Drosophila melanogaster: one gene and its partners. The protein of the gene in region 3 interacts with the protein of the main gene of each other region in a pairwise test. Each region holds a gene or a part of one and is shown on either strand. Other genes may lie near its edges.

What was found.
Region 1: the proteins of Tsp39D (region 3) and Cpr50Cb interact in a two-hybrid assay, tested with the Drosophila melanogaster proteins (one large-scale study listed by BioGRID).
Region 2: the proteins of Tsp39D (region 3) and CG8157 interact in a two-hybrid assay, tested with the Drosophila melanogaster proteins (one large-scale study listed by BioGRID).
Region 4: the proteins of Tsp39D (region 3) and CG1637 interact in a two-hybrid assay, tested with the Drosophila melanogaster proteins (one large-scale study listed by BioGRID).

The regions. Positions count from the first base shown.
Region 1 is NT_033778.4:13,791,196-13,799,409, forward strand, and holds the start of Cpr50Cb (cuticular protein 50Cb), read left to right. Parts: upstream 1-3,581; 5' UTR 3,582-3,743; intron 3,744-3,909; 5' UTR 3,910-3,980; coding exon 3,981-4,010; intron 4,011-8,214.
Region 2 is NT_033778.4:15,323,022-15,329,363, reverse strand, and holds CG8157 (uncharacterized protein), read left to right. Parts: upstream 1-2,977; 5' UTR 2,978-3,001; coding exon 3,002-3,013; intron 3,014-3,073; coding exon 3,074-3,403; 3' UTR 3,404-3,861; downstream 3,862-6,342. Other genes in the region: CG8160 (uncharacterized protein), read left to right, coding at 1,120-1,131, 1,189-1,815; Arf6 (ADP ribosylation factor 6), read right to left, coding at 5,020-5,162, 5,217-5,519, 5,799-5,880.
Region 3 is NT_033779.5:21,341,544-21,349,696, reverse strand, and holds the start of Tsp39D (tetraspanin 39D), read right to left. Parts: upstream 5,091-8,153; 5' UTR 4,961-5,090; intron 1-4,960.
Region 4 is NC_004354.4:10,871,227-10,880,695, forward strand, and holds CG1637 (uncharacterized protein), read right to left. Parts: upstream 6,573-9,469; 5' UTR 6,328-6,572; coding exon 6,189-6,327; intron 4,774-6,188; coding exon 4,577-4,773; intron 4,362-4,576; coding exon 4,015-4,361; intron 3,945-4,014; coding exon 3,248-3,944; 3' UTR 2,674-3,247; downstream 1-2,673. Other genes in the region: Ork1 (open rectifier K[+] channel 1), read right to left, coding at 7,290-9,331.

The DNA of each region.
Region 1 (8,214 bases), on a different chromosome or scaffold from region 3:
GGGGCGGTTGACTTGGTCTGAGATGTGATTTATGTTAGGTGCAAAGTTTTCCACAACTTTTTTCTGCCTCGAATTCATTCTTCTTTCCTCAGGTCTTATGTTTTATCCGTTTTCTTTTTCTTTTCTGTGTGTGTGTGTGTATGCTTTTTTTTTTGAGGGTGCAATGAACGCAAGTGCAGAAGATGACGATGACAATGAGGATGCACCAGTTGGGGAAGGTGTGAACGCAGAAAAAATTCGCTTAATTTGTCTAAAGAAAAGCCAAGAGCATGAAAATTTCCATTAAGAAAAATGGTGGCAAGTGTGGCAAGTGACAGGGAAAGCTCGACTTTAGCCCCAAGATTGTTGCAGGAGTAGCAGCAGCATAGCTGGAAAAACTTATCACAGTTGCTCGCTGGAATAATGAGAGCAATCAACAGGAAACTCCGGCAAAGAGATCAAATCAAATCAGAAGGAAGTGCCAAAAGGAGATGGCCGTAATGAAAGCAATCAAAGAAGCCGTTAGCAACTTTCAGGCGATCATTACACTACAAGTTTTTAATGAGCACAGCAGAAATTAATACAAGCAGGAACAGTACAAAACAAAATTTAAGAAATATATTATGCAAATTATTTTACCTGTACTTCGAATGCCAGTTAGAAAATCGATGATCGTGGGGGAAATGCCAAGCGAATCGGACGACATTTGATGCGCCTTCACCGCGAGTCTATCGAAAACTCCATTTATTCCATCAGAAGTCCAAGACATTTAGTCTATAAATAGCAAATGGTAAGAAACGCGCCTCCGCGCCGAAATAAATGCAAATCATCCGTCTGGACTCAAAACTGGAAAATAAAACAAAGATCGCCGCGTTTTCGACCACTTCTCACACCAAATTCAGAGGGCCATGGCGGCAGCAACATCAAGTTGCCGCTGCAACAAAAAAAACACCGCGCTTAGTTGCAACAATGGTCGCGACAACACTAACAATGCCAGCGATGGCAGCAGCAACAGCAACAACTGCTGCAGCAGCAGCAACATCCAATGCTGGTGGCAATAAAATGCGGCAATTACATAGTTGGCTATTCTAATTCACTCATTTTTAGCTTGAAAAAGGTGCGCCTGACTGGGGCTATTGGAATTTATTTTGGTTCTACAGCAACTGCAACACTAAAAGCAGCAACAGCAGCAGCGGCAGCAGCAACAACGTGCAACAAGCATCAACAGGTGATTCGCCTGAATGTTGCACGAAATGGGCAAAACAAATTCGAGGAAAAAATCATCTTAAATGCTTCTGCCGAAGAATTTGAGTCTGTTCTTTTAAATGTTAATTTTTTTTTTATTTCGTCTTCCACTTGCCTGCAACAATTCAATAAAGTTTAAAATGTCAACAGCTGGGCGACAGAAACGAGAAAAAATAAGTGAAATAATGCACAAATGGCTATTGAAGCCCACGAAATGTTTGACTAAGTTTTGCTTCCGTTTCGCATTGCTTTGGAGCCGGAGCCCTCGAGTGTCCACTTGATGAATTAAAAGCGGGAAATTTGCAAAACTTTATTACTTTGGACGTTTTGAAAAATGATCGAAATGCCGAAGAAACCGAGACTGCAACGGTGGCAACAGCTGCCGGCCGAAAGGCAATGACAGCGAAACAAAAGTTGCCCAATTGATGTCAAGTTATTGTTGAACAAATCAAAAAGGGAATTTTCAGCGCGGCCTTATATAATATCGAATTCGCCCCATCACACTGCTCTAATTACATTTTAAGTCGAAATCCTTTCGTAATCGCAGCTACCAACGATTGCACTTGATTTCGAGAGCGTCTCAAAAGAAATTTCAATTTGCCCCCAGAGTTTGCGATATGGGTAACAATCCCAACAATCCGAACAATCGGACCAGTTGGTAGTTTTCAGTTGCCAGTTGGCCCCGATTGTCGGCGGGTATTATGTTGTTAAGACATCGTTTTGACAGTACGTTCGCCTCCGCGTGAAGAAGACCGTTTGAGATACACACACACCACATACACACACGCGCGCACATGTGTATCCGCAGCTCAAGTGTCACGGAAATCTAAAGTTAAAAGTAACCAAAAGTTGTTCAATTACTTTTCACAGCGGTCCATTGAAGATTGCCAGCAGGTGTAAGCGGCGCTGATAGAGGTAACATCTTAGGTACACGAAATGTTACCTTGGAAAATGGGTACCAAACTAATAAAATCTAATAAAATTGCTTATAAAAATAAGATATTGAGATATTAGAGTATCTTTAAGATTGCAGCTATTGAAAACTAATACCATATCTAATATTACAAATATATAATATTATATTAATAATAGTTTTAGTCATAGCCCAGTGTAATTGGTAATAACATTTCGATTTTGGTACAAGATTTTCGCATCACTGATTATAAGATGGGTTGATTGTAAGTGTAGCTATTTTCGATTGATTGCTCCCCATAATAATTTCAATATCTAATTTTAATATCGCACGCACGCACACATCGCCACCTCGCAAGTGGTCAATAAAAATGTGAAGAAACTCTGAAATCAGTCATCGGATTGCTTTTAATTGTTATTTAATCTCGGCTCGTACAGAGGCGCTGTGATACATTCAAGGTTAATTGGTTATGGGATGGGATTTGAGGCCTGACGGAAGAAAAGGAGCCATGCGGTTGATGTTGGTTGGAAGGAGGAAGTTGGCCCAAAGGCACTCGACACGTCTGCCAGCCTTGTGCAATGGCCAATGGATGAGTTTCGGGGCCTCGGCTACGGATCTTTGGCATGAGCCTCACGTCATAGATTGCATTTTGGCAGAGGTGCTGCGGGAAATTGGGACGCCACATGAACACGTTTGTGCAGCTTGTGCAATTTTCCCCGGGCAACCGCATCACGTACTTCTCACCAAACTTATTCTATGTTCTGATGCTTTCCCAAAGGCCAAATGGCAAAAAAAAAAAAAAGAAGAAAAAACAAACAAAAATAAATATATAGATATTTCGAAAAAGGGCGACTGTATCTTTGGAGGCTAAAACGAAACCTATCATCTGACATTCCCAGTGACATTTTCGTATCGTCTCGATGGCAACTGCATCGCCCGAGGGCCCAGACTTCATAAAAGCTTGGCTTAAATATCAAATTTGGCCGAGTATTTAATGAAGTCATTCGGGGCGTTGCAGGCTCTCCACTCGAACTCATCTTGTTATACATCCGCCCGAGCTTCATCATCATCGTGCCAGCCATTCATTTATCATCTCGTTACCCATCATCGTAATGATCGTGCCACGGCGATGATCTGCAACATTTTTCACCACCTCAACACCAAGACTTGGCCAAAACGGTGAGAGCAACGCTGCGCTCTCTTTGGGCCATTCTGAGAGACTCGTGGATGTGGATGCTCTTGGCTCCAGCTCCACGGAGGCAGATGATCTAGAAGTTAGGCGCTAGACTTGCCTCAATTGTTCAAACCGCTTTTTCGTTACTTTTAGGTGCAGTTGGCAACGCGAACGCCGCTGCTACCGCCGCTGCCGCAGTCGCCGTCGCCGCCGACGTCGCTGCCAGCGTCTTTGAGCGTTTATTATAAAAAGCAAGCGCATCTCCATTGTCTAACCTAATTCAAAACGTTCGTGTACTTCGTGCGGTTGTCTAGGAAATCAATCTAGCCGAACCTAAAAAGATAAAACCACCTCCTCTTTAACTGAGGCCCCCTCCTAGTTGAGAAATCCAACCGGTGATAAAAAAATAAAACCCTCCCCCGCCCGGTGAAAGTAAGAGTTAATACAACTATTGTGGCAAGCGAAGGACTACAAATTAAATAGTGTGCAATAATCATAAAAATAACACAAAAGACACTCGATTAACTCGAAACAATATAAATGAAATAATTGACAACTCTAATGAATTTAATTTAATTCAATTCAATTTCAACTTCAGCCAGCGGCGTTTGTGGATACACTACTTTTTGCCATCGTCTGTGAACGTAAAATCGAAACTCAACTAACAAAATGATGTCCTTCAAGTCGTTCGTCCTGCTTGTGAGTATTTATACATACGTACATAAAACAAGGACATGTATTTCTGGGCCTGGAAAAAAAAAACATAGCTAAGCCTACATAAATCAGTTGGCCAAACAAATCATATGAGATTTCGCAGGCGTGTCCTTTGGCTAAAGCGAAACTATATATGTATGTATGTTTGCATGTATGTGTATGTGTGTGGAAAGGCCAGCAAGCTAAGCTTGTTATATGTCAAATTTGTTTATCGCTGGCAGGGAAAAATGACCCGTGGTCACTCAGTGTCCTTTTTCGTCTACAATGTCATTTTTCTGCTGCGGCTTTTGGGGAAAGTTTAAATGAGATTTGCTAGGAGAACTGAAGGCAACTACCCATCAAACTGGTTGTTTCAAGTGCCTGGCAAACTGTTTGCCTTCCTTTTTTTTCGTTTTTTTTTGGTAACACTTGCCGTCAATGGCAACGAAAATGATTGCATAACTTGCCACACGTCTGCCACAGAGCCTCTCATCATCATCATCATAATCAAAACCCAAGTCCACACACACACACACACGAAAGTCAAGTGGCGAAGGGGCCAAAGTAACCCCGCCGAATCGAACAAATTGCAAATAATCAAAGACACTTAAGTGCTCCACTCCGCTCTGGTTAATATATATATATATATATACATATGTACTTGTACGTACTCCTCCATGGATACGCATTCAATATTTGGCAACATCTGCGTTTGCCAAGTGCCACGTAAAATACGCCCCAAATCTAAGCAATACTCCCTGATTGTTCCTAACTAAACACTTGAGTTTCGGAGAAGGCTAAAAGGTTGTAAGGCGGAGGACACATGTTGGTAATATATTTCCCCTTTCGTATTTAGGCATCATCTGAGGAAAATTGCAAACCTTTTTGCTCCCCTTGAACAATTGCAAATATATAAGGCTCCAACTTGACTTTATTTTGTAGGCAAACTTTTCTTAGCTGGTGCTAAATTGACACAAGTTTTTTTTCATCAAATTGTTGAAAAATATACTTTATACTTTACTAATATAGTTTCGTAAAAATATTTATATAATTTGTTTCAAATTGCTGTAAATTGACACAGAAAGAGTTGTGCAACTAAGAAATTTCTAGGTGATCCAAAATCCTTTCTGTTACCTATTAATTTACACATTTCGCTTTGGAAATTCTCCATATTCTCACAATTTTATTGTGAAATTACAGTATTGAATACTTTTCCTGGAAGTCCAGAAGTTAACCCGCAATCAAGAGCACACTTGTAAACTGCGAAATACTTTCACTTGTTCGCCATTGTTAAAGCATTTTGAATCGCGTTTTGGGACGACGCCCTTAAGCAGGCAACAAAATAAAACAGACGCGAGTTTCGCTGGCTGCTCCTTGATGTCCTTTTATTTTTTGTAACTGGGGCGTGTTAAATTGTTGGTGCGACACTTGGATGCAATGCAGGTCCAGACGGCAGACCACACTGTCTGGAATCCATCCAATGTACCTCCGCCCATTCCGCGTTACGTGAGCACACAGGAGAAAAATTAGATTTCTTCAAAAACCAAAAGTGTCTAAAAAGATTGAGATATAAAATTATATTAATAGGTACTCAATGAAAGCCATTCAAATGTATGAAGATTTTCAAAGAAGACATAATCAATATCTAATTAAAATTTAATTGGTCATACATCATGTAATTACTCGAATGAATTTTTACGATTAACGTAATCGTGATTAATGGACGAGCATAACTAGTAGTTAAAATAAACGCAATATATATGCAATGTTTGAGGCCAAAGTGTTAGATCTTAAATGTTCTTCTATTAGCCATGTTTTTTTTCAGCGGTTTTTCTCGCAGTGCACTCCTCCATCTCTGATGCGTCTGGTCTGCCAAGCAGATAACTTCCAAAAGGTACACCAGACGATAGCAAAGGAATAGAGTTTGAGAGCAGAGTGTAGAACTCCAGCCAGACGCGTGTAATTTGCCGCTTGTAACTTTTTGACTTTTCACCAGCGATTCTCCATTTCCCCAATGCCGCTATATTCCCCTTATTTTCTTCTCCTTTTTTTTTACCATTCTTGTTTTGGCCCGAACTGGGCGAATAACAGCAGGCACGGAAGCGTACCAAGCCAAAAATAAAAACCAGGAGCCCAACCACCCACTGCCACATCCGCCCACCAAAAGGCAGACACTCGATAGACAAATGGCCGCTGGCCAGTCGAGTGCACGGGCTTTTGAGAACATCGGGGCGAGCATGTTTTACATGTTAATTTCAGCCCGGGGGAGACTCAACTGGCCAACTACCCAGCTAGCCAACTATAGGGTACAGAGTACGAATACGTCGAGCACCCACACCAGCTAGTAATGCCCAACTGCTGCTGCATATTAATGCCCATGATTCCAGCTGCTCATTTTCGCACGCGAAAATTGCAGAACTGGTGGCAAAGAATTCGAGAAACGATTGGTAGCATTGACTGGCATTCATTCGGGCACGCTTTTGAATTTCAAATGACAAACCTAAAATATTCACAGTTTGATATTTGAGTCCGTCCGATGATGGTGCTGCTGCTGCTGCTGCTGCTGATGATGATGATGAGCTGGCAAAAGCCGAAAGTCGAAGCTGCTAATTCTGCATTCTGCATTCTGCATTCCGCACTCTGCATTCTACAAATGCTGAATTGTTGCATTCGCCGGCCGCAGCGAATGGGCAATTGTGAATGCCGGCATGGGTCAATGCAATGCTGCCTCCGATTCTGATTAGAGCCGCCTGATTATGGCCAATATATCGCATGTCTGGCCAAAAGTCTTTCATTGGCTCATCGCTGCACTGCTGGCGATTCGAGTGTAAGCGATTGCCCAATGAATGTTGGATGTGTGGAGGGTATTTCAAAGGGATATTTGCATTTCGTTGGGCTCCTGCTAAAATTCTACAAATTATCAAATTATCAATAGAAGTTGCACATCCGTGAATCCAAATATTTCAAACAACAAGCCCATTATTATTTTTATAAACTTCCAATTTATAGCAGCGTATTCCCCCATTCGTCATTTCGCACAGGCTCTACCCTTGCATTACAAATTCAATTTTAATTGAAATAATTTGGCAGATTTGCCAGATTTCGCTTGATGCCGATTGGCATTGCCTCAAAGCTGATCCGTGCTTAGGTAATTGAGCCCGGGGGTCGTCGAATGGGCGCTCAGACCCATTCTTCTGCCTTGGAAGTATGCAATTTTGCGGCTTCACCGATATTTGCTGTAGCTTTGTGCGGTTTTATTGTCTTTGGCAATGGCTCGAATGCGGGGGGGAAAAAAAATCCAAGCGAAGAAAACCCAAATGGCAAAAAATTAATGACGCTTGAGCAAGCGGCAAGTGCAGCAGCATATATGTAGTATGAGTTGGATGAGGGGCTTCTGCGGGGAAATGGTAACCAGCCAAGCATCTGCGCCTTTGTGTGTGTGTGTGTGTGTTTGTGTGGTAATCTAATTAAATCGAAATTTCAGCTGATTACAAAAGCCCAGCCTCCGCCTCTGAATTCGCTAATTGCCCAACCAAAACCAGAGCGTCCAACGTGGCGTATGCGCAATGTGAATAAGAGGCATTTCTCCTCCGTTTCCCTTAGGCAAGGAATTTTTAATTGCACTATTCTGGCTGCAAGTGTTATTTCGTCGGCGCTTTTGTGGGTCCACAACAGCTGGCAATTGGAAAATTAGTTCACTGGGGTTTTTAACCGAAATTCTAGCATTTAAATGGCAGAGAAATAGTTCTGGAAAAAGTTGTACTTGGTTTTTAGTGTGCAACAATTTCGGTAGTTGTGGTTTCTGCACAACAATTTTGGCTTAAAAAAAGCTCATAATTTTCATTCGATTTGGATTTTTTGTTATACATCAAATGGTTATACCAAAACTATAAGCATAGAAACTAAAAACTAATTAAATCCATAATTCAACCATAATACCACATTTACCTAATAATCGGTTTTTATGAGACAAAAAAGCTCCCACATAGTTTTTATAACATTTTAAGTAATTGCACATGAACAGCTTGCAAATGCATAGTTGGTCATAAACAACTACTTGAAGTATTCGATCGTAGCATATAATTTATAAGTTTTTTCTCACCCGTTTTTTGGGTATTTGAAAGGTTAATATCTTTATGGACAGCCGGCGGCTTTTGTGCATTGAAGTGTGTTATTTAATTCGGGTTAAATAGGGTTAATGTAGTGTAGA
Region 2 (6,342 bases), on a different chromosome or scaffold from region 3:
GAGAGCAATGACATCGTGCGAGCAGGACGAGCAGAGACGACGGGGTTGGTTCTTGACATTTGAACGGCGACATTTCGCATCGCCAGGATACATACACGAATACTCGTACACTCACCCACACCGACAAATCTCTGCGAGTGCCACCCACTGGAGAGGGCGGTGGGTGGCAAGCCCTATCAAGTGCAGTGCACTTTATTTAATCAATCAAAATTCATGGACTGCCTCTTTTATTCAACATTCAGACACTTTGTATCTTTGATTTACGTTCCGGTAAAGCGGGATTACAAGGAATTGTATTTGTTAGTTACTATTGTATCTTTAAAACGTAAACGTTTATCTAACATTCTTAGTAACATAGTTAGTTTCATAAAATGAAATAAATATAATAAAATAAATAATAAAAAGTGTACACGAAAGTAAACATGTGCTGCTTATCGGCCAAAATGTAATCTCAAGTTTTTGTTCTATTTTGTTCTATCAAACCAAACACATATATACAAACTGTTTGAGATTACAAATTCACAAATAATTTATTTCTAGCTTATCTATAAATGGTTCTAAGCAAAATATATTGAAATGTATTCAAAAATTTATCACAAATTTAAAGCGTTGAATCGAGGCCATTAATAAAGTAACATTTTTAGCGACAATGAAATTTATACATTTTTTATTGCCCTTGCCCTTTTTACAAGTTGATTATACCACTTATTTTTAAGGCCAATACACTTGCTTAATCGCAGCATTCCCTGCCGTGTCCAAAATTTTGTTTTATTTTTCTACTAATCATTGACCTCAGCGCCATCAAAATTTGGGATTTTCCACAGGGTAGTCGAAGTTGATTAGGAATGTGTGCTTCTTAAGCGGATGTACCTACAATTTAGATTCTGGAATAGGGGAATGTTGAGATCCGGAAAAGTTATTGCTTAAATATATCAAAAAAGCCTTTCCTTTCAAAAGCAAGATACCCCCCAATCGATATCTACTATGACAATATAAACTGAATTAAAATCAATGACAGTCCATAACAGGTAACTAAATGTCGAAACGCAATGCCCACTAGCTTGGGTATAAAAGAAGACACTCTTTGGCATTGACTACAGTTCGAAAAAAAATATCAAGATGAAATTAATGGTGATTAAGCTAATGGTCAGTGAAGTTTACATAATCCTCAATTTATTTACCCTTTAGGTTGTCCTGTTCGCCCTGATGGGCATTACCTTGGCCAGACCGGGATACGACGGAGCAGCAACCGCCCAGTGGGGTTTGAGATCCGTTCCACAGAGCGGACAAAGTGGATACGGCAGCTCGCCAAGCGGATACGGCGGATCAGCTTCCCAGAGCGGGCAAGGAGGATACGGTGGCGGGCAGGGAGGATACGGTGGCGGGCAAGGAGGATACGGTGGCGGGCAGGGAGGATACGGTGGCGGGCAAGGAGGATACGGTGGCGTTCAGGGTGGATATGGCCAACCCGCTCCATTGACTGAACAGGTGGGATACGGCGGCACTCAGGGTGGATACGGCAGTGCACAGAAAGGATATGGCGCATCCGTGCCCCCAAATGAATTCGCACTTGGACTCTCGGGCCAAGGACGTTTGGGAGGATATGGCAATGCCACTCCTCAGAGTGGAAAGTTGGGATACGGCGGCGGACAGGGAGGCTACCGAAGACCAGCTCCCCAATCGGGCCAGTTATATGCCGCAGGAGAGCTCGGAGCAGGCCCCCAACTTGTACAGGGAGAATTCTCCGGCGGAATTGGTCACGAGAACTGTAACCACGAGCATCACAAGCATCATGGACATCATGGACGTTACTAAAACGGCAACTTTAAGTATAACAAAGTAAATTAAAAAAAAAAAAAAATTAAATCTTGCGAAAAAGTTGACTTAATTCTTAAGGTATAGTTATTGCTCACATTAAACTAGGAATTAAAACACATAGACATCAATATGCCAAAAATACAAGCACCATTACAACTTTCTATTGAACTTCCGCAATAATTATCAATCTTCGATTTCCCGAACTAATCTCAGTACCAGTCGATTAAAGCAACATTAAATAGTTTATTCAATTTGTCAAGTTCTTAAGATTGTGTTTTTAGAAATGACACATCTATTTTATAAACCTCTGCAAGTTATTCGAGAAATGCATTTTAGAAATTCAAAATCGGTCTTTTTTTTAGCAACAGCAATTCTTAAATTATACTACTTTTTTCCCAAATCGAAATATATAACTTTTGTCTATATTTGTATATTGAGTATATTTCCTCTTTGTAAGATTAACATTTTGTTTGTTACATATTAACAAAACAAAGACTTTTTTGACAGATTTTTTGTATATTTTTTTCACAGGGCACTCCAATCAATAATCTGTACTATCCAAATAGACATAGACATATTAAAGTAAATAATACAATTAAAATTTATATATGAATTTTCTCATAGTCTGGTTTTAAACCGTTAATCTGTCTATTAAATTTAATTTTTTTCCAGACATCATATTATTATATTATTTTTTAAATAGGTTCTTTTACATAAAAAGTTCGCACACGTGCCCAAAATGAAAATCAAATAATAACGCAAAAAAACAATACTTTCTGCCTAATTGGTGGTTCCGCTGTCTGTGATTAACAATTCGACTGTTTTGTTTTCATCTAAACAATGACCTCCTGTTTCTGTTATCAACATGTTGAATTTTTTACAGGGTAATCGTATTTTGGTGAGAGTATAAATAAATAGCTTAAGGTTGGCACATTTGTTTATAAATTTTGAAAATAAAAAGTCTTTAAAAATCTCCAGCCTCTGCTATATAAATTAAATACAAATAATCGAAACAATTATTACATTGTAAGTTTACATTTGCTTACATACGTTTGTCAAATCGTAAGTGTACTACGCTTAATAGGTATCTGAAAGTCGAGACATAGTTAAGTCCACGCTTACAGATCGGGTATATAAAGAGGCCACTTTCAGAGCGGATTTCAGTTTAATAATTTAAAGCAAAATGAAACTACTGGTAAGCTAGCTGGGTTATGTGAAAGAAAGTAGAAGGATCTTACGTTCGTCTATTTTATAGATTGTTGTTCTTGCCCTGGTGGCCGCAGTTTTGGCCAGACCTCAATTTGGACCTGGTGGTCAAGGAGGATTTGGTGGTCAACAAGGCGGCTTTGGTGGACAGGGAGGATTCGGTGGAGGTCCTGGATTTGGTGGACAAGGTGGTTTCGGTGGCGGACCCGGAGAATATGGCGGTCAAGGTGGTTTCGGTGGCGGACCGGGAGGATATGGCGGTCAAGGTGGTTTCGGTGGCGGACCGGGAGGATTTGGCGGTCAAGGTGGTTTCGGTGGCGGACAAGGCGGCTTTGGCGAACACCACAGACACCATGGAGGACATCATGGGCGCTTCTAATACCCCAATTTCTTAATCGTCTTAAAATCGTAAACAAAAAATAAATAGTTTTTTCCAACATATACCTGCTGTTTTCGTGAACCAAATATTAAGGAGACCACGGATCCTGGAGATAACTCGCAAACGAAGGAAAGAACAAACACGCATCTTGAGGAGACGCAAAACCAAGGAAATACTACACTCTGGGATTCTGCACACAGAAAAGATTGACTCGGCTATTGATCCTGACTAATAATATATATATTAACAATATATACACTTTATTAAGTCGGAATCGTTTAATTCTACATACAAATTTCATAGGATGTGTCACTTCATGTGAGAATATTAACAAGATTATCTTGGCAATAAGCGCTTCGTCACTTCGTGGATCGCTAGATGACGTTTATTTGGGAACTCGTCATCTTCATCACAACCTTTTCATCTGTAAAACGTGACTCTACTAATTATTATATATTTTTATTATTATAATACAATAATAATACAAAAACATATTTACAGAAAATAACTTTGAAACCTATGATTTGTTTCATAACTTAAAATTTATAATTATAATTCAGCAACAAAAATCTTAGATACTGAGATATTACGGGGTATTATGAATAGGTTGGTTTTGATAAAAACGGTAAAGGTATAAAACAAGACATACACCCACAAAAAATAAATTATATTATTCATGCAAGGATGTACCAAGGAGTTTTTCGGACAATTCGGGGATGATTGCAAAACAAAGGTAAATTATTGAACGCCGTGTTGAACAAATCATGCTCAGGTATACCCAGGCTCATTTACCCTGCAAATTATGGCACTGAATGTGGCATGTTTACCTTTCAAATTGAGCGCACAATACAAACCAAATGCGTTTGACACTGAAGTCAGAATATGCCTTTCTCGCAAATCCAGGGACCTTCTTCGTCTCGAAGGATATCAGATTGAGAAAATTAGCTGTTGGAGTGGGGAAAATAATGAGGGATCATAGACACACATTGAGGAAGGCACAGTTACTATTTCATTATATTTTGAAGACTCAGTTTTAATCTAAATAGCAATCTATAGGTTTGTTCAATTGTTTGTTCGGTGTTTTCTTTTATTTCGTTTGTTGTTGTATATGGGCTTTAATTTGAATATTTATTTACAATTTATTTAAGACTCGTTACACCCTTGCTCAAGTCAAATATAGTAACAGTTGCAATAAACAAGCTTTCAACTTATTGCTTACGTGTCTCATCAATATAATTTACAAGAAAAACTTACTTAAGGCTAATCTCCGTTGATGTTTTGCTTTATGTCTCTGTGCTTCACGCATAATTTACTTTACGGATATTTACCGGCTGCTTATTTTGATGCTTCTTTTATTTTGTAGGTATGTGTATTTTTACTAGTGAGAATATTGGTTGGTTAATTGAGAGTATATATAATTACTATATATATCTGACTTCTATATACCATTTTTAACATTTGTAATTTATGTACGTTCGTTTTTACGAATTGAGTTTTTACTATGCGCTTGCGGTTGGTTTTCTTTGTATAAATAAAATAGAATATTTTCGCTTTTGCTTCGCTTCGAATAATACATGCCATATACATACATATAAGAAAATGCTCGATTACGATTCTCATAACTTATGGTTCGACGTTAACCAAATGAGGCCCTCGGACAGGCCATCGCCGGATGTGGCACATGATGGTTGTACATACCAATTGCGATCTCTTATTCTAGTTAAACCTAGTTTTTCCTGGATTTCATGGGGTTTCATTGCTGCAAGAGAGAACAATAAGCGGATGGAAACAATTGGCTGAGCACTATACTAACCATCAGGCAGATCCTGCTTGTTAGCAAATATCAGTATGATGGCGTCGCGCATCTCCCTATCGTTAATTATCCTATGCAGCTCCGTGCGCGCCTCGTCTATCCGATCCCGATCCGCACAATCCACGACGAAGATCAGACCCTGTGTACCCGTGTAATAGTGTCGCCATAGCGGTCGAATCTTATCCTGCCCACCGACGTCCCACACATTGAACTTGACATTCTTATAGGTGACGGTTTCCACATTAAAGCCCACAGTGGGTATCGTTGTAACAGATTGGCCAAGTTTCAGTTTGTACAGAATCGCTGTGGGTGGACAAAAACAATATTACTTTAGACACGCAAAGGATGTATAAACAAAATAGCTCGAATTCGATTAGTGATAGTACTGGTGTACGTATTGAAAGGTCTTTATATTGTACATTTTTTCAAAGTACAATAAGAATAAAAACAAAACAATAATTGCCTCGCCTCAAGAGTATTTTTTAAATGGGATTGGTTTCCACTTAGGAAACTGATGAAACTAATGGGTACTAATCAGGCCCACAATCGAATTCGAGAACCCTTTATTGTTTATGTGCTTACTTGTTTTTCCAGCCGCGTCCAGTCCGAGCATGAGAATTCGCATTTCCTTGTTGCCGAAAATTTTTGATAGTAACTTTCCCATGGTGCTGATGTGTCATCCATTAAACCTTAGCCAATCTGAAAAACAGTTCGAGTAGAGTTGGCGAGGTCTTCCAAATAAGCATATCGATAAGAATAGCTGGGCGAGATTCAGGGCAGGGTCAGTGAATTTCCAGATAATAGGGCCATTGTAATACAGTTTGCAGTTAACATATCAATTTATGATATAAGAACGCCGTCGCGCGAAGGCGCGTAAGTGATATATGAACATACAAATGTAGCTACATATGTACACATACGGCGGGCACAGGCAATTTGGTGGCCATATAGAGCTTGTACGACGGCGGAAGCTAAGACCATTATTTTGCATAATAATTTCACTTACATTGTCATCAGCTCGTTGCTAAAAAGCGAGAAAAAAGTGGAGAGGCAGAATTTATCAGTGAAGAGCTTGCAGCACACAGTCGCACACACAAACACACGCACACATGCTTACACATAGGAA
Region 3 (8,153 bases):
ACCAAATGAACTGAGAACTTTGAAGCATTGGACTTTATGTTCTTCAGTGAGTTTGCTTTTGTTTGTTACTATTAGGTTTTGTAATGTGTTGTATTGTGTTATCAATACCTTTATGTGAAAAATAAGCGTCTGAGTTTTGATCAGCGCGGTTTTATTAATACATTTATAGGATTTATCAAAAGCATCTCTAATATTGTTTATGGATATGGTTAAGTTTAGCCATTCCATGTATGTACCTTTTAGCGATGTAATCGCACTTGTACCTTTTTGGTGTAGTTTCTATTAGATTTTGTCTAAATCATTGGCTCGACTCATGTAAGTCTTTTCAACGATCTTTTGTGAAACTGATAAAGTTTTAAGGCCAGGTTAAAAGGCTGATAGGATAACTAAAATCAAAAATAGTAAGTACATTGAATTTAACTGTGGGGTTGTATCCACGACTTATGTCCCATTTTGATATGGGGAAAATTAGTCTTTATTTGTATATCAAAAGTACAAATAGAATTTTAACTTTGAGAATTGGTCAATTATTGTTATCTCGATCAGATATAAATATAGCTCGAAATTTTAATAGGTCTAAACTGTTGTTAAACATATTTTTACTTGATAGATGAATTCATTATACTCAGTTTACATCGGTTGCAATTTGCAATTTTACAATATTATTACTTATTTTAAGTTTAGGACTGAGTATAATGTGTTAGTTATGAAATGGGTCCCTGATAAGTTAGTAATTTTGTTGCAGCGGAAACCGCATCGACAACATTAATATAATATTTGGGCGGTTGAGGCTATGGCGTATAACGCAGCCCGCCGCTTTACTTCGCACCACGAAGTTGTTGATTGATGGCTGCAAGGCGCTCTTTGTAGCGCTGCCGGTCTTCCTCATTAGTTGCCGTCTTCAGTAGTTCGATGTTGAGCCTCCGGGCGCTGAGCAACTTAATCCGGCGGCCACCCCTCTTCTTTTTAGGTGGCTGCTCCCTCGCTGCAGTCCGTGCCTTGTACTCTTGTATGGTCAAGGGCTTTGGTCCCGCGGACGGATCTACCTCTATTACCTCTTTGATACTTGGCAGATCCCTTTGCTCGACAGGAGCAGGGTGTTCGAACGTCTGCTTGGTAGACATTCGCTGTTGTCATGTGCGGCGCGCCGGTGGAATCCTTTATCCTTTATCCTAATCCTACCCTCGCAGGATGCCGTGCTAATTGCTGTTGCGGCTTACAATGGTCGAGGGCAGTCGTTCATGCAGACGTCGGGTCTTTTCGGCTTGGGTGATGTTGAATTTTCAGTTATTTCTTCATTGATTATTTCTATTTTTGCTGAGTGAGTTGTGGTATTCGGCTTTCTTTGCTGGAGGTTTTCTTTCAGAAAGTCTAATTCGGCAGTTAATTTCTGTGCCGTTGCCCATGGGGGCGGTGTTTTATTTGTATATCATAGCCACTTAATATGTGCTATACCTTTATTTTTGATTTCCTGACATCCGCGTTTGCCCATTACCACACTCTACTCACTCAGTATTTTTGTTTCTTTTTTTTTTTCATCAGTGTCCCGTCTCTAGGTCTCCCGCACTGGTGTAAGGGGCGGCCTGCCTCTCACACCTGTTGTCGCTGTTTAGAATTCCCAAATCAAATCGGCAATATTAGCAGCATTTCCTCAGTAGTCCTCAGATCGCAGGCTCCTGCCTCACGGTCGCCATGTAATAAACCAATATATGCCACCAATTGAGAACACGTGTTTTCCTTGCAGTTGGGTGCAGCCGTCAGGCCACCTTTTTATTTCTTCTTATCTCTTCGAGTAGCAGAAACGGTTCTGCCCGCTTAACCTCTACAGAGTGTCTAATCTTACCTAAATACTGCGACTGCGCCGCCGTCGACAGCGGCAGAAGAGCAGCGTATATATATATGTATAAGAGAGAGAGAGAGAGAGCTTATGCGCATATATGGCCAGCGGCCAGCGTGGGGATGCTGACTTAGCTTAAAGCATAAATGGGTGATCTTATATCACGCTCACTTGAGACATTTATTTATGCAATGCAACTAAGTGTTGCTGTGTACTTATAGGTACAGTGTACCCTCGATATATGCACATACTACATGCTATAAGACGCGAAGAAAAATAAACCAACTGCCTAACGCTATTTAAGCTCGTATACGTTTAGTATTCATTTTTATCCGTACTCTGTTAAAGTGATAATCATAGAACAAGATTCAAACACACCGGTCTTTTCATTATTCCTGTATGTTATTCTGTATGTGTAAGCTATTCCCGGCTAACGATATGGATTTCCTGTATTGAAGAAGTTTTAAAAACTTTTTTCCGGAGTTATTTCAATGTACAACTTTACCGAACCTTTACAATGTCAACTATTACGAGTATATACAAAATACATTAATTTAAACAAATTTTGCATTAAAAAACTGTTAAATGAATTTAAAAAGCAAGAATGAACGAGTTCCTCGAATATCAGATACCCGTTACTCAGCTTAAGCATTTAACATCCTTGTTGGCATATCGATAGAATTTGGAAAGAAAAGACTATTAAAAATATGAAAAAAGATCGAAATATTTTCCAAAAGTGGGTTCGCGACAGGATTCGGCGGGTTTTGTGCGTTAGAGTGGGCATTGCAAAAAGTTTTTTATCAAATCGACAGAAATTTACAAAACTAACAAGAGAGAATGCGAGAATAGTCGAGTTCCCCGACTATCAGATACCCGTTACTCAGCTAGTGTGAATGAGAACGCGAAAGTATCATTTATTTTGGGATATCAAGAGATATTGGGAAATAAAATGAAAAAAAATTTAAAAATTGTTCAAAAGTGTGGGCGTGACCGGTTGTGCGGTTTGAGTGGGCGTGGCAAAAACGTTTTTGGCAAAATCGATAAAATTTACAAGACTAATACATATGTGAACAAATATCAACACATTTTTCAAAAGTGTAGGCGTGGCGTTAGAGTGAGTGTGGCAACATGGGTCAAACTTGCGCTCCGTCTATGTTTCTAGAATCTGTATGCCTTTTAGCTTTTATAGTTCCTGAGGTCTCGACTTTCATGTCCAGATTGACTCGGCTATGGATCCTGATCAAGGATATATATACTTGATTTGGTCGGAAACACTTTTCAACGAATCTAGTATCACCTTTTAATCTGAGTAACGGGTATAAAAATAGGAAAATATATCAAAACAAACAGTGGGCGTACCGGTTTTGGGTGATTTGAAATAAACTTGCACTGCGCCTATGTCTCTAGAATCTTTATGCTTAATCTCAACCTTCTAGCTTTTATAGTTTTTGAGATCTCGGCGTTCATATGGACGCATAGACATTCGAGCAGACAGACAGGGACATATAGACTCGGCTATTGATCCTGATCATAACCTTTGACTCTACGAGTAACGGATATATAAATATCAACACATTTTCCAATGGTGTGGGCGTGGCAGCTTTGGCAGGGTTTGTGGGCGTAGCAACATGAGTAAACAAACTATGCCTCTGAAATCTATATGCTTAATCTCAATATTGTAGGTTTTATAGTTCCTCAGATCTCCACCTTCATACGGACGGACATGGAGAACGAAAACTAGGAAGGACAGGAATACATATGTACATACATACATATGTATGTATATTGCGCTTGCTGTAATAGTTGTGTAGTTTGAATGAGTTTGAACTCTGCACTGAAATAGGTCGGTTTTTAAATTATTAGTGCCACCCCACCACCAGCAATAGGCCAAGTATCGGCATTCAAAGCAATGGGAAAGGAATAGAAGACAAAATCGATAGCTTAGAAATAGTGTCAGCTGCGTAAAAAGTGGCTACACCTGCCACACGGATGACAATGTAGGGTAAAATACACACGTCAGCCGTATATTTCTTAGTACTGCGTAATAAACCAGTTTGGATATACGTATGTGTTAAGTGTTAATACATACAGAAATACTTTATAAGGTGGAAAAAGCGTTCTTCTACCTGTAACATCCTTTTAAGTGAATTCTTACTCTACGATTACCGACCATTTCTAATACTTTTTAAATACTTTAGCTTGCAGAAGCAAGCATCCATGTTTATTATTATATTATTATATTTAATATTGCTACTACATTGTACAGTGTTTGGTAGTGTTCCCATTGCTGAGTTAATAGTTCCTTAATTGATTTGCGCCCAGGTACCAGACGACCGAATTTGGAGAGCAGTTTTACGGTCCTGTCAGACTTATTTATATTAAACCGTTTTTAGTTTAAGCAAAATATGAGTTTATGTTACCTTGAAATTAAACGATTAGTTTGATTAAACCTAACCATTTATCTCTAACAAAGTTAGCTATTTATTTGAGACGACAACCAAATCCTGACTCCTTGACGAATAGTGCGCTAGTGCGATCTGGCCACTGTGCGTAACTGGTGGTTCCCGCTCTCACCAATTGTCATATTCATACACGTGTATTAACATATGAATCAATGTCCGCCTAGCGGCTTTATTGAGAGGATTTCCCCATGTCCAGCTGCATGTGTGCATAATGATGCTTCTGGTTGATGGTTGCGTGCCGTCGCCTACTTCCGGAACCCGCTTGTAGGCGGGTGGCGGATATATATAGGCATTACCCACACTTCACGAGCTTTTGACTGACCGTTTGTGTATCTCCAATTAGGCGCATCCCAGCACCTGGAGCACCATCCACTACGACTTGGAGCAACTTCGCGAGGCATGTATCACACCGGACCGCAGCTCCTGCTTGCCGCAAGCACGCAAACTAGTCAACAGAATCACTCTCCACACTCTAGATCTCAGGTAGCACAGGGAGAAGTGCATATTGTTCGGTCGCATCCCTCACTTAAACCACTTTCCACTCTCCCACCAACATACATACACACAATTACTCCTCTAGGGCAATACTAATACCAATTTGTATGGCGCAAGGGACCGCATCATCTATTGCAGCTGATTGGTTTCACCCAAATATTTATACCTTTCAAATTTAGGACCAGGACGCAACGGTTCGCTTGATTAACTCGCACCCGCGCTCTAATCAGAACAACAGCACTTTCGATGGATGTTTTCAAGTGAGACTTGACAAACAGTAGAGCTACGATGTGATAATTCCAACGGAGGTATCGATAGCGCATGGTCATCGATACCTCACGCCAATCAACGATTGCTGAATGACTCCACTATTTGTTATCTTATCCCGGTGCTGGAAACATTATTTCAAGAAAATCAATTTTGGTTAATTTTCTTTTTATTACGTGTTGATGCTAGAACCGCTTTTTCCCCTCTCAGCAATAAATCTTGTATTGCCGAATACAAACGCTATTTTAATGTTGGTCTTTTCGTAATTATGTTTAATATGAATGTTCAGTAGCAATTGCAGGTGATTTTGAGTTGCCATACCAACATCTACACAGTTCGGGAGCTGCCATACTGCAGTATACAGAAGTCGGGAGTTGCCATAATTTTTTACTAAAGTAGACTGGATTCGAATCGTAGATAAAAATTGTATAACCCAGATTGATTATAAAAGAAGCAATGTTAAGTTTAGCTAAAAGGAGATTCGATTACTGTCATAAAACTATGTTTGTAGTGAAAATTAAAACAGGATTGTATTCAATTTTTGCATATACATAAGTCCCTGATGACATCAAATGAAATGCCAAGAAAACGAATGCAGTCGGACATAGGCATATAGAGTCGTCTGGAGATTCCGATCAAGAAAAGAGAATCAGGAACATTTACATGATATATATACCTTCCTCCCATTAGATAAATCCTCTTCGCTTTCGCGGTGGTTTATGAAATATATATAACTTAGCACGTTCTCTACTCAACAACGCTTTAAAAAATTTCCACCGTGTTTTAGCTCTCCTTTTGCTTTTGATTTAGCCCTTAAACCAACCTTCTTGGCAAGAATAAGGTGGAATCGGTTTATGTTATATTACACGTTACACGTTACACGTGGGCTTGGAAATTTTGTGATTCTTGTGGGCGTGGCAACACGGACATGGCTAGATCAACTCGGCTTTTGATCTTGATCAAGAATATATATAAATTATATAGTCGGAAACGCTTCCTTCTGCCTGTTACATACTTTTCAACCAATATTGTATACCCATTTACTCTACGAGTAATGGGTAAAATAGAAGTGAACCATTGTTGAATGGTTTTAAATTAAAAACCTAATGATATTATAAATACATTTTGCCCATTAAAAGAGTATATCATAGGATTTTTTCTGTATTCATACCAGGACTTTGAAAAATTTGATGCTTGGGGATGAAAAGTGGTAAAAGTGTAAAAGGATATATGTAAACAAGAGAAAATGTTATACTCGATTTCCCGCTCATCAGATACCCTTTACTCGGCTAGTGGAAATTCGATCGCCAAATTTTATAATTTTTCCAGGATATCGATTGATTTTGGTGAATAAAATGAGAAAAAATTTAAAAATTATTGGCGTGACAGTTTTGTTCGTTTTGTAGGTGAAAGAAGGGTCGTGGCCACATTGTTTTGTATACCGATAAAACTTGGCAAGACAAATAATAAAACGGAAAATTCTAAAAATATTTTAAAAGTGTAGGTGTGGCAGTTTTGGGCGGTCTTTGGACGTTGAAGTAGGCGAGGCAAAAAGTTTTTTGGCAAATCCATAGTAATTTACAAGACTAATAAAAATATGAAGAATTATCACAGAATTTTTCAAAAGTGTTGGAGTTCCGGTTTATTCTTTACTTTATTAAATAATCTTTGCTTTAAACGTGAGAATGTATACATATTATATTATTATATTATGTATACATATTACAGATTCCATATAATTATGAATTTGTTATTTTTATCATTACTTATTTAAATATTCATATACTTTTCTTCACTTGTACTAAGCAAATGCTCTTCAAAATAGGCTTCTCATATAATTTACAGCACTGGGAAAACGTTTCTAATTTTTGAATTAATATTTGATCCTTTGGGGTATTTCTATATAACATTAAATATATTATATGAGTCTCTTCCTGTTCATTTACATTGCACACCTATGGAGCTACACATCTATATTGCGAGTTTTATTTACGAATATATTTCGTCCTACTTTGCGTATATTTAGCACAATCGTAACAGAATTTTTAATGTTCTCCAATCTGTACGATTAAAAAGCACTTCGCTTAAGAATATTGCTATATAGACCCCGCTCAGAATTAATTTCGATATCTTCGCTTAATTGCAGATTTTCAGCTATTCCTTCTAGGCTTTTCACTTAAGTATAAAACATATCTGTATGTATATACATAAATGTATTTATATGCGAAATTCACCAAAAATAAACTTGTTTTTTCTTGGTAACAGTACTCTACTGTCTCAATTATCTACCGGTAACATTTAACCACTTCAGTTAAACACAGGTACATCGATTGCAAATTGAATAAAAAATAAAAAAGAATAATTGTACAATAGAAAGGATTCCCGAGGAAGTGAAAAGTTTTATTAGAACTTGCATTAGAACTTTTTCCGAAATGTTGTGTTTAAACAAACACACTGACACGCGGGCTTGATTGACAGAGAAGGTTTTGAAACTCAGTTCAGAATCTTGCACTGCTTCGAACAAATCGATGTTTTGGAGTTTGTGGAAGAGCTTAACATCCTGCGACCTACCCAAAATACGAAATCCTGACTAATCAAACATAATAAACAAGCTTAACTCGACACCGAAGAGGAGAGAGTTCCCCCAACTACAATTTTTTACTTAATTATTGCTAAGACCCCAGCCACCCTCACTCACTCACACTTACAAGCCCCCTCTCGTCGCATCAGCCGACTTCACCACCCACTGAGCACCGTTATTTTATTACTGTTTACCGTCCGAGCGTTACTATCGACGTCCCTTTCCCGCGTACAGAGTCTTAAGTCTGGCGACCCATAACGGAAATGTGCCAATTTTAGTTTCGGTACGTTAATTGTTTTCCTGTCCGCCCACACACCCCTCTTACCACGTTTTCTACTCTTGCATCCAATGGAAGGTTTCAAGTGCATTAAAAAGATCATGGGTGGTAAATTAACTTATTGGGGCGTCACTTTGTAGACCGTCGTTCCTCAGACGGCAGGACCGCTAGTTAACGGTAATTGATTCAATGTTTTTGCTGCTATTACAAACAATTATATGTATTTATGCACAC
Region 4 (9,469 bases), on a different chromosome or scaffold from region 3:
GTCGATGACCGTAGGTGATGATCCACGGACGTTTGGCCCGATTCTCGGGCAGATTGGCCTCGGCCAGGTCACGTTCCAGCCACTCGAATTGCTTGGTCAGCAACTTGAAGCCATAGCTGAGGAAGTAGTAGACCTCCGTGGAGAAGGAGACAAAGTGCACGGGTCCCAAGTTGAAGCTGTACCACAAGCTGTCCGTTTCGCCGGGCATATTGAAGCGGGCGCGATAGTTGGAGAAGTTGCTGTGATGGGCCAAAGTAAGTTAGGTTTGAATAGTTAACACACCGGCATCATCAAATACTTACTACTTCTCCTCGTGATTGCCCGGACAAACCATGTAGGGCACATAGGCAGCCACCGACTCGATCTGGCGCATGAATGCATCACCCACGGCAGCGTTGGAGGTGTCCATGTCGTAGGCAAAGTCACCCACATGGATGATGGCATCGTACATGCCTCGCTCAGTGTCCTGCTGTAGTCGGCCCATCGACTGGGCATTCTCGTTGCCCATGTCACCGAAAATGGCCAACGAGGGCGACCACTTCTCACCCGCCGGTGGCGTCTTGAAATTGAACACCGCCGACCAACCGAGCGGACTGCCGCAGCTGTACTCGTACCGCGTGTCCGGCTCCAGATCCTTCAGTTCCACATTGTGTATGTACTGAGTGCGAGCCTTCTTTCCACCATCGACGAATCGCTGCCAGGTGCCGTTCACCATTATCGGCTCGTCTTTTAGATAGTTCCGCGAGAATTTAACCACCGAGGCGTTGGGGGAACTTCGAGTCGACCATGTCACCACAATATCACGAAGATTGTCTACAACAAAGTTCATTAGCTGGGATTATTCTCACTTTTAAAGACCCAATTTATATTTAAAACCATCTCGTTTTAAAAACAGTTTCCCCTCGAATTTCGTACTTAAGACTATAGAATCAGTAGGCCACAATCATTGCCACTCATACATAGTTGTTTTATTTGAGCGTATAACTGTAATTACATTTCATTAAAATATATATGTTTAGAAGGAGGATAGTTTCTTGGTCCGATTGCTGCGAATATAAATCATTCGAATTTGTGCCCGAATTTAAAATACTTTAGTATATGACGACATAAAATATCACAAAGTTTTTGAGTTGAGATCAGACTGGTACGGTCCATGCTTGTCCTTGACCACCCAGAAACTATCGATGACCTCGCCCTTCTTGTCATCGGACACCTGCTCGAAATGTAGATGGGTGCCGTTGTGGGCCTTCAGTCGAAGATACCCAAAGTCCTGGCTGTGGAAGGCACTCCACGGAGGCATGCGCTTGAAGAATGGCTCCCTGCCCTCGTGATTGCCGGCAGCTCCCGAAATGATGTGTATTGGTGCACCGGGATTCACATACGGCTCGGCCAGCGATCCATTGAACACGGTGTAGTTGTACATGGGCCACATCCGCTCGTAGCAGTGCTCGTGTGCCCACAATTCAATATCTACGCCGTACTGATAAAAGAGTGGCTCCAGCCCGAAGAAATCCAGCATGGGCAGACCCTTTCGAACGATTGTCTCATGATTGGCACAGTCATCTCCGTTGTCATTGCTGCAGTACATGGGCCGATGGCCGTATGTGATAATCCAGGGACGCTTCTTCCGGTTTTCTGGCTTGTTGGCCTCGATCAAATCCCGCTCCAGCCAGTCGTACTGCATCACGATCTGCTTGATCCCGAACTTAGTGAAATAATAGACTTCTGTGCTAAAACCGATGAAGTGCACCGGTCCAAGATCGAAGCTATAGAACATGTTATCCGATCCACCCGGCATGCTGAACCGATTGATGTAGTGCGAAAAGTTGCTATGGGTTGAAAGGGAAAAGTCCTTATATCAGTCATCATCATTATCATCATCGCAATTGGCTTGTGGTGTAGCACTTACTACTTCTCCTCGTGGTTGCCCACGCACACCATATATGGTAAGTAGGCGGCTATGGTCTCCACCTGGCGCATAAACTCGTCGCCGACCTCTCCGTTTTCCCAGTCCATGTCGTAGGCGAAGTCTCCCACATGGATGATGGCGTCGTACTGGCCGCTCTGCGTTTCACGCTGCAGCGCTGGAAGGGATGCCGCATTCACCACGCCCATATCGCCGTAGATCGCCAACGAGGGCGACCAGTCGGCGTGATCGAATCGCGTCCGAAACCAATAGGTGGCGGACCAGCCCAACTCACTGCCACAGTGGTAGAGATAGGTGCTATTCGGTTTCAGGTGGGACAGCGTCACCTGCATTCGGATGGGTTCATGGATTAGATGCCTTCGTTTGCGACTCTTGCTGCGTCGTTACTCACACGATGTATATACTGGGTGGCCTTTTTGGCTCCACCATCCACGAATTTCGTGGGCATTTGCGTCGCCTTCACTCGCTGATGCAGTCCATCGATGCCGAACTCACAGATTGATTCGTTGGTGTTGTCGCGCGTGTTCCAGGTGACGACAATGTCGAGCACGGTTTCTGCACAAGCACACTGATTAACTAGGAGCTTAACACTGAGCATGTCACATATTTACAACACTTGTCTACAAGATGAAGTCAACTATTAATGGATTCACTCACAAACCATTTGATTGATCGTTGAATTCTCAATTGAGTTGTTCCCAGTTTTATGATATTGAATTGTTTTATCCCAAAACAATAAGCACAATGAAAAGTTCAAGACATTTATTGTAAAGATACTAGGCATTTAAACAACAATCAGTGTACAATCGGATTGCCGTGACTATAATAAACCCGGTAATCGGATTTCATGTACTTATTGATAATAAAAACCGATCGGGTGCATATCCATTAGTCCTTTAACATTGATCCTAATAAGTATATCAAGTACATCCCATACACATTAAAAACAATTTGCTTAAGACAGCAGTTACCGAGTACCAGTTTTTGAACATCAAGTAACATGCGACAGAGATAAGAAACTAAGTTCATTTACGTTCTTATCAGCTTATGTTAAATGCACACTTAAAAGCGCTTGCATATGTGTAAATGCTGCGTTTGTTAAATTGGCTAAGTATAAAACTGTAGTTTGTTTCGGGCTGGGTTGAGATATTTGGATAAGGAATGTGCCACGCTTATTGCTATAGTTTGTGATCGAATCAGGTCGAGGCGAATGTGCGCTACTAATACTGCCTGTTGCTATTGATGCGTGTAATGCCTCGAGAGACTCCTTTAGCTTGAATTGATTCGGCTCAGGTTATGGTTCAGATTGGGAATGACTATTTAGTTTCGGTAGCTTCCATGCTTGGATTTCACCAACCAAAAGTCATCGATGATGGCGCCGTTCTTGTCGTCGGACACCTGCTCGAAATGGATATGTGTTCGATTGTGAGCCTTGAGCCGTGTGTAACCATAGTCCTGGCTGTGAAAAGCGCTCCATTCGGGTATTTTGCCCTTGAATGGTTCTCTTCCCTCCTTGCAGCCGGCGGATCCTGTGACGATGTGCACAGGGGCACTAGGATCATTGTACGGCGAATCCTTCAGCGTTCCATTGCGCACCTTGTAATCGTAAATGGGCCAGAGTCTCTCGTAGGAGTGCTCGTGCGCCCAAATGGCCACGTCCACGCCGAACTCGTAAAGCAGCGGCTCCAATCCGAACATGTGTACAAATGGCCAGCCCACCCGCGTGAGAGTCTCTGAGTGGGTGCAGTCATTGTCGTTCTCGTTGCTGCAGTACATGGGTCGATGACCGTACAAGATGATCCACGGACGCTTGTTCCGATTCTCTGGCAGATTGGCCTTGGCCAGATCCTCACGCAACCATTCGAACTGGAATACCAGCGGCTTTAAACCATAGTTGAGAAAGTAGTAGACCTCCGTGCTAATGCCCACGAAGTGCACGGGTCCCAGATCGAAGCTGTAGAACATGTTCTCCGTACCTCCCGGCATACTGAAGCGGGCACGATAGTTCGAGAAGTTGCTGCAACACCAACAATTAGATCCTGCTTCTACCAAAAAACACTCTACTCTCTGCTCTACTAGCTACTCACAACTTCTCCTCGTGATTGCCGGGAACCACCATGTATGGCAGGTAGGCAGCCACCGTTTCGATCTGCCGCATAAACTCATCCCCCACGCGAGCATTCTTCGTGTTCATGTCGTAGGCGAAGTCACCCACATGGATGATGGCATCGTACATGCCGCGCTGCGTCTCCTGCTGCAATCGGGCCAGGGATTGGGCATTCTCATTGCCCATATCCCCGTAGATAGCCAGCGATGGCGACCAGTCAACGGATGCCGAGGGCACTGTGCGAAACTGGAAGATGGCCGACCAGCCAAAATCGCTACCGCAATGGTAAGAGTATGTGGCATTTGGCTCCAGGTCCCTAAGCGTCACCTAAGCAAAGTAAACAATAAGTTTTTCTCTCTCTTTCTGGTACATCAACTGCGATGTCAAGGTGGATCGATTGATTGTTAAGAGATGGAGTGCAAGCAGTCCTGGCTCATTGGTTCTTAATTTGGTTCTAAGAGCCGGATTCAAGGTTGCATTCCTCTTACATTCTCACATCAATCTACTTGAATCGTTTGATCGGTTGCATACTCTATGCATACCCTGTGGATGAACTGCGTGGCCTGCTTGTGACCGCCGTCCACGAATTTAGTAGCCTTTCCCCGGGCCTGTTGGGTGAGCCTGACCTGTCCGTCTACCAGTTGACCGTACTCCACCACGCTGACCGCACCCACTTCCTGATCCGGCGGCAGGCTGCGCGTGGACCAAGTGACGACTATCTCGCTATCGGTGCGTTCTGCTTCAGAGGACAAGCGGATATCGAGAAACGGGGAAGAGTAAAAGAAAAACAAACTTGAGCAATTTCGTTGGTCCAATGTTGGTACGTTTCAAATGAAAGGAAAACAAACAATTAGCCCCCATCCGGCATCTAATATCATTTAGATTTGGCATTAATACTGATTACTAAACATGAAAATGTATAGATTTATAGTATAATATAAACAATGAACTCGAATTCCAGATTTGCCACGATAATGATTCGCATAATTAAAGTTGATTGAAACAAGTGCTACTTGGTTACTTTAATGAATAACTTCAATCCCATTAGCATCGCTTGTGCCAAATTGAATTTGAATCTGTAACGGGTGCAGGGTCGTCCAGTCATTCATGACCAAATGTTATTGTCCAATAAAACCCTGATATTTTTGCTTTGCAGCGACGCTCCATTGTTTGCTTCATCCTTATCGCCAACCCAACAGAAACTAGAAACTAGAACACAAAGCCAAATGGCCGGTGGGATGACGATCGACCGTATCGGCAAATATGAGGCCCCACAGGGAGCCAAAGTCTATCAATCTTTGGGTTGCATTTCAGGGTTTTGAAGTTTGCAATGCCCGCGTTGTCGTAGACAACAGTGGAACCCCAATATGGCGGAATAATGCTATTTTTTTTGGGGGGGAATCACCTGATTACAAAAAAGACTGGCCGAGCGGCTGACGTTTTTAATCTTGTTCAGTTTTTCGCCAATCGCACTACACAGCGATTAATTTTAGCATTGTGCACGAACACATTCACAGTGGCATACTTAAATTGTTTGTTAATGTTTTTGTGTTTGACCTGCCACCTCATCAGGCCTTAAATAAGCTTGAATTTATTGCTGCTTCCAAAAATTCGGAATTAGATGTTATCAGTTTTGGAGTTTTATGGGACTTTCGATTATTAATATAAAGCTATATTTATACAATATTTGGGGAAACCTTAGGTATTACCTTGTTGTAATTTGTAGGCTGTAACTAACGATCGTATAGATATTAACTACAATTAAATATAACTATGCATTGCGCCCGTTATTGTGGGTGCATTTGCATTTGTTCATCCCATTTATAGGGGCGACGACACTGATAATCATTTTATGTAGCAAATGATTCTGGGCGGGATTGGAAAGCAAGTATTGATATCACTCGATAAGTGCCTCTGGAATTGCGTACTATACGATCAATGTTTTTCAAAACCATATGTGATAATACACATAAAGGAAAATGTAAGTACAATGTAAGGTAATGTAAATAAAATAAACTTTCCTACGTGATAGATTTGTAATATTAGAAACTTATATGCCAAGCTATCATTTTTCTCCCAGTGTATTCTAACACTAATGCAACGCTGCAGGTGAGCAATTTACATAATGCGAAAAGTAAAGAAGATCGCACTCACCTCCAAAGGACAGATGCACTTGCTCCGGCTGATAGTGAACAATGTCGACGTCCTGGTCGATGGGAGTGCTCCTAATCCCCGGAAGAAGCAGCACCAGCAGGAGCAGCGACGCTAGCAGAGCGAATTGCAGTCTCTGCATTTTTACCGTTTTGTATTTACTTGTGTTTGTTGTTGCACAGTAACGCAGTCAGCAAAAACATTGCCAAATCACAATTGCGTCGTTGTCAAAGTGGGGACACTTGGCTCGGGGAGTCGTTGGAGTTAAACGGGGGAATCGACAAATTCGCTTGCGGGAACAACAAAAAATGAGCACTAATATGGAAATATCCAGCAATTTATAAGCGCAGCCACAACAAAAACAATCCGGGTGCAGTGTGACCTTGGCCGCCGAACAGCAAATGCCAGTGGTAACGATTGCACGCTGGCGACAACTATCGATAGAAAGCGATAAGTGAGCGCGCGATTTGAACTTGATACGTAAATAAATTACGTGAAAATGACAAATTTATCTAAAGCTGTTTGAATAAAAATGAAATAGCGTTTCAAATTCAAAACAGCTCAATTGGTTATTCTATTGTTAATACATTTCGACCAATTACTCAATTTCAATTAAATCAATCAATTAGAAATGTACGCATTATTGCAGAATATCTTTATTATATAACAGCATATGAAATGTTTTGGGGAATGAAGTCCCTCTAAGAGCTAAATGAAACTACACACAATTCGAGATCCTTTGTCGGTCCCAATTGAATGCTTGAAAACATGCGGATCGTTTTGTTCATATAAGCGCCTTCTTAGCAATAAACATAGAAGAATATATATATAGATATATAGATTAGGGTATATGGGTATAAATACAGGATAACAATAGAGAGAGAGAGATAGAGAGATAGTTTTAACAATACATACAACTAGGATAACTGGATATACGTATGTAAATAGGTTTAAGGATAACATTAGCATAACAACTAAGGACTTTTGGCAGCCTTATCGACTTTGTGGCATACATGCTGTGAAATTGGCAAAGCAATTCCGCTGGACGTGGAAATACATATGTATACGATACAGGTAATACATCTTTCGGACAAGGAAACCTAACTACTTCTCGGCGGGGGCACCACTCGATCCCGTGGCCGCTGCACTGGGCATGCTGCTCTTGCGCTGTGCTTGCGAGATCTGCACGATCCTCGAGAGCGGCGAGTGGGTGCTGCTGGTGCTGGGTCTCGTTCCGGCGGGCAAGGGCAGCAGCCGTTGAGCGGACGTTCCGCCAGACTCGTCGATGGCCCCCGCTGGCAAGGCGCTTCCACTTCCTCCGGGCGGCGACGTGGGCGACAGTTCGCGGGCCAGTGGCGAGGGTCGCAGCGAGAGGCGTCGCTGGAGCGCCGTCTGTGAGGACTGCTCCATCAAACTGGCACCTGGTGGCGGCGCCTGTCCCGGTGGAATTTGCAGAGCAGTCGGTCGCACGCTAAAGCGACGACGGAATTTGCTCTGAACAGTTGGCGCATTCGATGGACCGGCTGTTATTTGGCTTTGATTTGCGGCTCTCTCAGTGTAACTGGGTGGCGGTTCCAGCAGGGATCTGGCTGCCGGTGCGGTGGCTGCTCCACCAGTGGGCGATATGCCAACAATAGTGGAGCGACGCGCGTACAGCCGATTGGCAGCCGCCGCCTGCAGTGTCCTCGTTTGATCGCCAGCGAAGAGCGACAGGATCGGCGGCAGCTGCGGTGGCTCCAGTCCAGCATTGCCCATCTTGCGCTGTTTGCGGCTACCCCTCGATATTCCGCCTCCACCGGCAGCTCCTCCAGCCGCTGCCGCCTGTTGCTGTTCATCAAGCACGGCATGGGTGTGCACTACCTCGAGCGCACGAATCAGATCCGCAATGGTCGTCTGCTCCAGCACATTCATATCCTTTTCGGAGGTAACCGAGAATATGCTGCTACGGCGCGGAGCAGAGGTCAGCGATGATGCCGATGCTGTAGCTGGGAAGAGGCTGCCACGACGCGCGGCCACTGCCGCCATGGCCGCCGATCCAGAGCCACTGGTTGCCAAGCTGCCGCGTCGCATCTGCATCTGGGCCAAGGCGTGCGCGGTCGGCGGATACATGCTGCCCCGGCGAGCGGATGGGGCTTGATTCTGGGTGTAGATGCTCTCGCGTCGGCGCTTGCCAGCAGCCGCCTTGCGTTGATAGGCTCCACCGCCCAATGCCGATGGCGGGGTTGCTCCATCCTCCATCTGGAAGCCCATGTTCGTTAGCCCGCCGCCGCCGCTGGCCAAGCTGCCATTCGATTCGAAGGGCGGTGGCGGACCGCGTCCGTTGCGCAAATAGGATTGACTGGAGGCCGCCGTGACCGTGTTGCTGTAGTAGTCCAGCGGGGATCTGGCTTGCTGCGAGATGACACCCTCGGGTACCGAGACCACGGACAACTTGCGCTCCAGATCCTGCGAGGGGCGCTTCTTCTGGAAGGGAAACAGACGTCGCAGACCATCCGGCATGGAGAACTTCTTGACGCGACCGGCACCCGGTGATTGTTTCTTCAGCTGCTCCTCCAAAGCATCCGGCTCCAGATGGACCATGGTCGAGTTGGCTGCTCCGTTGGCACGCTGCTGTCCCTTGTAGCGCTGGTTGAATGCCTCCTGGATCTGCTGGTTGTCGCCGCTCCATGTCCATTCGTTGTGGCTCGAACGCAGTGGCCTCTCGCTCTGCCAGCGAGGTGCCTCCAGATTGAAATCGGAGCAGGCACGTGCTCTTGGACGTCGCGGTGATGTGAACTCGTTGACCGTCGAGAACGACCATTCGCTGGCCAGGATCTGGGAGTCGGAGAAGCCATGATAGCCACCATAGAGAGCCGCATCTTCCTGTTCCGCCGGCGGTGGCTTCACCGTGGCCAGTGCGTTGACCACCTTGGCCAGCAAATCGGTGGTCTGGCGGTACGCCTCCGCCGTCTCGAATGTCTTCTCGCGATCCAGTTTGCTTAGCTCCGTATCGGAATTGGCGTGTACCATGCCCGCCTCCCTTTGGGCGGCAACCATGTCGGCGCACACGGAGAATGCCCTCTTCCGGCTGGGAATGGGAGCCGGCTCCACGCGGTACATGCTCAGATCCGGACACGAATTGGAACGTGGCAGTGTGTAGGCGATATCTACATCGGTGTACACAGGCTGATAGTATTAATACGATATAACAAATTCGGTTTCATATATGTATAGTCAATGTAATGTAAGAGTTTCGATTTCCAGTCCATGTGTGTTAAAGTTTGGTAGTCATATTTGCAGTTCCA